2 linked regions of the Saccharomyces cerevisiae S288C genome follow. Changing the gene in region 1 together with any one later gene gives a genetic interaction. Each region holds a gene or a part of one and is shown in the gene's direction. Other genes may lie near its edges. The genes, in order: HBN1 and YHB1.

Evidence for each region.
Region 2: of HBN1 (region 1) and YHB1, changing one enhances a phenotype caused by changing the other (phenotypic enhancement), as found in Saccharomyces cerevisiae (one study listed by BioGRID).

Annotation. Positions count from the first base shown.
Region 1 is NC_001135.5:72,573-75,530, reverse strand, and holds HBN1 (putative nitroreductase), read left to right. Parts: upstream 1-1,544; coding exon 1,545-2,126; downstream 2,127-2,958. Other genes in the region: FRM2 (type II nitroreductase), read left to right, coding at 246-827; FUS1 (Fus1p), read right to left, coding at 2,190-2,958.
Region 2 is NC_001139.9:957,742-961,603, forward strand, and holds YHB1 (flavohemoglobin), read left to right. Parts: upstream 1-2,162; coding exon 2,163-3,362; downstream 3,363-3,862. Other genes in the region: PHO81 (Pho81p), read right to left, coding at 1-469; MIC26 (Mic26p), read right to left, coding at 3,619-3,862. UniProt on the Saccharomyces cerevisiae protein: Is involved in NO detoxification in an aerobic process, termed nitric oxide dioxygenase (NOD) reaction that utilizes O(2) and NAD(P)H to convert NO to nitrate, which protects the fungus from various noxious nitrogen compounds.

The DNA of each region.
Region 1 (2,958 bases):
AATTTTTCAATTTGTCAGCTTTGCTCTGCGCTTTTCCTTACTGCGACAATAAATGGCAAAGGAAAAAAAAATACAGTGTCATTTGCAGATATGACACACTTTAACACCTGAGTGGGTCATCACTACTTTGTGTTTGTCTCCACCCATGTTGTGATCGAAGAGAGATATAAAGGTTGATCATTTTTGGTTTTTTAAAGCTATATACACCATCAAAATCAAGAACACCAGACCTCCAAGCCAAAGAAATGTCCCCAACTGGAAACTACTTAAACGCTATTACAAACCGTCGTACCATCTACAATTTGAAGCCCGAATTACCACAAGGTGTCGGTTTGGATGATGTAAAGAGAACTGTACACGTTATTCTCAAGAATACGCCAACAGCTTTTAACTCACAAGTGAATCGCGCTGTCATTATCGTTGGTGATACACACAAAAGGATATGGGATGCTGTTGCGAGCGCAATGCCAACTGCTGAAGCCAAGAAGAGACCAGAGTCTTGCAGAGATGAGGCTTACGGTTCAGTCATTTTCTTCACTGATGAAGGACCAACTGAAAAACTGCAAAGAGATTTTCCAGCCTTGGCAGCCGCTTTCCCAACATGCGCCGCTCATACGACCGGTGCTGTGCAAATTCAGTCTTGGACTGCCCTCGAACTATTGGGATTGGGGGCTAATTTGCAACACTATAATGACTACGTCAAATCTGCTTTGCCTCAAGATGTTCCTATTGCGTGGACTGTACAATCTCAATTGGTCTTTGGTGTTCCAACTGCCTTGCCAGAAGAAAAGACTTTTATCAATAACGTAATCAACGTTTATCACTGAACAGGAAATTCGCATATGAGGAGATCTTAATTTATCTCATGAAGTAATGATACCTCAGCGATGTGCTCGCTCGTTAGTATGCTTCATAAATTCATTATTATTTTTTTTTGGAAGTGTTTTTCGACAAAAGTTGCATTTTTACGAAGGATATGTAAACTCAAGAAGTACTAAATAAATATAAATACAATTCGAAAATTTGAAAAAAGTAGGAGACAACACTTTCCTTCCTCACGAAGAAGTTAAGCTTGGGTTTGTGACTTACTAACGTCAACGTACAATCGCGTTACAAACAAGATGCTTGCATTCTTACCTTACATTACAAGGACTTAGACGAAGAAAAAGTTCAGAAACACTGCTTACACTATTCACCAGACCCGCTCCTTCTCCTAACATCAATAACGAACAGCACTATTGATGTAAGAACGTCTTAGCTTAGTAATAAAGCTCTACCTTGTTATCGTACAATAATCCAGTATACCGCTTTTACTAATGATTATTCGAGAAAAATCGGACTGTGGCGTTTTACGTGAAAATTACGTAAAGAAAAAGATCCTGGGGTGCCTCGAGCTTTTCGGGCTAGGGTCTTGGCATTTGCACCTTGTCCAAACTACAGTATATAAGGACACCATACTGAAGGAACTGACTACATAATTTGTACTTTTTTCGTAGACTGAAGTATCCTATATCAACATATATACAAAAAAACAATCCAATATCATGTCTGCTGTTGCAACTTATTTGAAAACTTTAACTGCTCGTCGTACTATTTACGCTTTGAAACCGGAGTTACCTGGTGAAATTACTATCAACGACATCCAATCCGTCGTCCAAACCATCATTAAAGAAACACCCACCGCTTTCAACTCCCAGCCAAATCGCGCTGTTATCTTGACTGGTGAAACTCACAAAAAAGTTTGGGACGAAGTGACTAAGGCTATAGAAAGCCCTGCCGGTCAAAAGAGGCCTGCTTCAGCAAGGGATGAGGCCTTTGGTTCTGTAATCTTCTTCACCGACGACAAGGTAACTGAAAAGCTAAAGGCTGACTTCCCAGCGTACGCAGCTGCATTCCCTAGTTTCGCGGACCATACCTCTGGTGCCGCTCAAATCAACTCGTGGGTTGCCTTGGAGGCAATGGGCCTGGGTGGTCACCTACAACACTACAATGGTTACATAAAAGCTGCTTTGCCAAGCAAAATCCCTGAGTCTTGGACCGTACAAGCTCAATTAGTCTTCGGTACCCCAGCCGCACCTCCAGGTGAAAAGACCTACATCAAAAACGATGTTGAAATCTTCAATTAAGGAACAGTATATAAGTACAGAATTATAGGTATAGATTAAATGCGAACGTCAATATTATTTTCATCAGTCGTATTCTTGGAGACAGTCACCAGGCACAATGCCTCTATCTTCATTGAGGTATCTTTTATCGTCAACACTGACGTGAATAGAACCCTTTTGTGTATTACACTTTTCTACCAGACACCATCCATCGGTATGAGTGGCCAGAATTTTAACTTTTTCACCCAGCGAGATTCTTATTTCGTCTGTCAATCTAGGCTCGTAATCCTGAATAACTGTATATGTCTTCCCTAATTGGACGCTAGCCTCCCCATTATATTTGGAGTTTGGAGTAAGCGGCAATGGTTTAGAACGTGACAAATGTTGTAAATGCTGATACATTTTACTTTGTCTTCTTTTTTTCCTTTTCTTTAGTGGTTTTGATGGGGTGGGTATTATCAACTCGTGTTTCTCAGTGCTTTTATTGCAGTCATGATGATCATTGAAGTTGGTTTCCAAAGTTTGTTGTGCAGTAGTACCGTATATCACTGAATGGGGTCTTGCCGTGATTAGATCGATGTTATTGTTGCGATAAGATGTGATTTGTGAATCTGGCGTGGTATTACCCAAGTTATTCACACTGTCATTTGCATCCAGAGGCGTGTTATTATACTCCAAGATGGGCGATCGTTCGTCAGGCATTATATCTGACTCATTGAAGTAACCCTTACTTATCCGGGAGAGCATTTTCATTTGCTTCAGTTGTGGAGCCCCAGTTGGGGTCTTTAAAGAGGTCTTTGATAAGCCATAATCCTTAAAGTATGTAGAACCCCTCAAGAACCATCGAGATAGT
Region 2 (3,862 bases), on another chromosome or scaffold:
TGTCCCATTTCTTCAGAGCTTTTGAAAATCCCGTTTTATTTAACTCAACATACTGCTCCAAATTTCTAAGATCCTTTTGAAACTTTTTGAAAGCCGCATATAAGTTTTTAAATGAGGTAGCTTGGTTTGAGTTTAGCTTACCATTTATCTTATAATCTTTATATTTTGAGTGTAATATATTGAATTTTATTCTTAAATCGGACTCTCTCGCCAAATAATAACCATTTACTTTTTCCAGCTCCCTCTCTAGTTTAAAAAAAAAGGCAGCTTTATTTTCTTGCAGTCTCTGATGTATAATTTTTTCGTCGATGTCATCTAATGTTAAATGCAAATCTAAATCTGAACTAGCCTTTAGCGTGGGAATGGCCAATTGTTTGATAAGTTTCTTTAGAGCCTTATAATCAATAAAATGGCTGTTGTACTCCGCCAGTTCCAACTGCCTGGCTTCCAAATACTTGCCGAATTTCATTGCACGTTTATCTATCTATGTTGCCTCCAAAGGGTTATTCTCTCAAAAAGCTCAATCACTGTGGAACCGAAAAATAATGTTATGAAGATTTTTTGAGCAGTATGTCTTGTCAAAAGCTCAACTAGTGCAGCTGATGTTGCTTAAAAAAATAAAAACCAAATTTTTCTACTTTGCTCTTGTACGTTGCACAAAGAAGATTATGTAACAAACTTGAAGGGACTCTCAAAAACTTGCTATAAATTGTACAAAAGCCTCAATATCACCTAGTAGTGGTTCTATACCTGTCTCGAGCCATCGCCAAATAGTTGATAAATTTGATTAATTTCTGCCCTTATTCGCACGTGCCATAACACCTGTACCTCTCACGCTAAAGACCTTTATAATCAAGGAAACTTGTTGCTGCAGAGGAAATAGGAGGTAATGAATTGTGATAAGGCACATCACATCAATTTTTCTTGCATTCTTGCATAGAAAGATAGGCTGATGCAATTAGCGCGTTTCAATCGCGTGCCAAAGACGTATATACTAAGCAATATAACCGAATTGATTAAGTAGTTGGTTAATTGTATATTTTGTGATAAAGATGGTTAACTGACTTAGGCGGACATAATAGTAGAAAATCTATATAATTTTTCCCATGCAGTTGTTATTACAAAATGCAATTCTTGAGATAGCACAAGCAAGAATAATAGGGCACGGTACGTTCATTCACGTAGCGTTAGCTAGTGCTGCCACAAGGTAAACGTACGATTATATTCATTTTTGAAACGGAAGTTCTTTGTAACCCTCATGCTCGTTTGATAGTCACTTAACTACAAGATATTCTCGTTCAGTGATTGCTTGCTTATAAATCAGGAAACTTCATTTTTATTCCTTACATTTTCGAAAAGCCCGCAAGGTTTTCTTCGCCACGCTCAAGCATTCATCGTTGAAAAGCAAAACTGTGCACACTGTACCTTAGGCGACTCTTCTCCGAACAAGCTCATGGCTCATTTTTAAAATCACAAGCTTCGTATAATTGCCAAGACATAATCTAATTGAGAAGGTCAGACGGCAAAACAAATGACCGAAATCTTCGTTTATTGGTTCGCCTGCGTTGCCAACTGGTACATTTTCCCAGAGTACCAGCAAAGGAAGGCATCCTTGATGCCTACTCTGATACTGTGGAGGATTTAAACTGAAAATGATAGTCTGCGCGGCAAATCTTTCTATTTCTACTAAAGTTGGATCCTCCGGCCGATATAACGTATTCTTTTTATCCAATAATGTCAATTTTAAATGCTCGATTACTAATCGTTACTAAAATAGCGGACGCGCTTATGCGTCTTCGACGGATAGTTTTCAGATCATCCCTCTCAGAAAGCAATGCAGGAACCGCCTGTAAAACTATCTTTTGCTGGCACTCACACATTATGGTATTGATGCCACCTGAAAATACGGAAATTAACCATTCCTTGTACGGAGATCTAAGAGCAACTATTATTGAATTGTTGCCGTTAAAGTTTCATTTCAGTTCCGTGTGTGGTCAAGTACAAGACTACTGATGAAATATGTTGTACACACACGGAAATATATATATATATATATATATAACAATATTGTGGGTTGAGGTGGAGACTTGATTTTTCTTATACAGTATATTCTTGTTCATTTTTTACCATTTTCAACAAACCACACAAAGACTTTATTCATTATGCTAGCCGAAAAAACCCGTTCCATAATCAAAGCAACCGTTCCTGTTTTGGAACAGCAGGGCACTGTCATCACGCGTACATTCTACAAAAATATGCTTACTGAACACACCGAATTACTTAATATTTTTAACAGAACTAATCAAAAGGTTGGCGCACAACCAAATGCCTTGGCCACTACTGTTTTGGCAGCGGCTAAGAACATTGACGATTTGTCTGTGCTTATGGACCATGTCAAGCAAATTGGCCACAAGCATCGTGCCTTGCAAATTAAACCTGAGCATTATCCAATCGTTGGTGAGTACTTGTTAAAAGCAATCAAGGAAGTTTTAGGCGATGCTGCGACTCCAGAGATAATTAATGCATGGGGCGAGGCTTACCAAGCAATTGCTGACATCTTCATCACTGTTGAAAAAAAAATGTACGAAGAAGCTTTATGGCCAGGTTGGAAACCATTTGACATTACTGCCAAAGAGTACGTTGCTTCAGATATTGTTGAATTTACTGTTAAGCCAAAGTTCGGTTCTGGTATTGAATTGGAAAGCTTGCCAATCACTCCAGGTCAGTATATTACGGTAAACACTCACCCAATTAGACAGGAAAACCAATACGACGCTTTAAGACACTACTCTCTTTGTTCTGCTTCAACTAAAAATGGTTTACGATTTGCAGTAAAGATGGAAGCTGCCAGAGAAAATTTTCCTGCAGGATTAGTCTCTGAATATTTACACAAGGACGCTAAAGTTGGTGATGAAATTAAGCTTAGTGCTCCGGCTGGTGATTTCGCAATAAATAAAGAGTTGATACACCAAAACGAAGTTCCATTGGTGTTACTATCGTCTGGTGTTGGTGTTACACCACTTTTAGCTATGTTAGAAGAACAAGTCAAATGCAACCCAAATAGGCCAATTTACTGGATTCAATCTTCCTATGATGAAAAGACTCAAGCATTCAAAAAACATGTAGATGAACTATTAGCTGAATGTGCGAATGTCGACAAAATAATTGTTCATACTGATACTGAACCACTGATTAATGCTGCATTCTTGAAGGAAAAGTCACCTGCGCATGCCGATGTCTACACTTGCGGCTCTTTAGCTTTTATGCAAGCTATGATTGGTCATCTAAAAGAACTAGAGCATCGTGATGATATGATTCACTATGAACCATTTGGTCCAAAGATGTCAACCGTGCAAGTTTAGGCGTTAAGCCTCGGAAACTTCAATTTTATTACTGATTCATTTGATAATTTCACTTGTTCGATTTCACAGTTTGAGAAGTTATATTACGAAATAAGAAAAATTTTTAAAACATGAGACCATTGCTAATCTTTTGTTGTTATACTGTGTTAGAAATCCTCGTGAAATCCTTGTGAAATCCTATGTGGAATATTTAGATAGTAAGTAAAGATTGTGTATGTATTTATAAGATGAATAAGCGCCAGGTGCTAAACAGAGTTCACTTCACGTTAACGCCAGTCCAATTTTTGATTGCATTCCCTGTTTTTTCTACATCTTTGTTCAACCATTTTTTGGCATCATAGTAGTATTGCACAGACGCGGTACTTAATCTCTTTGTTTCTTTCCAAACACGATCTTGTCTTTCGGTAAAGTGTGGAAAGGTGTTCATTTCTAGATTATGGATGAGACCCATGGTGTTCCTGAAGGTTGTTGGCATTGCATACGCAAAACAACAAGACCCC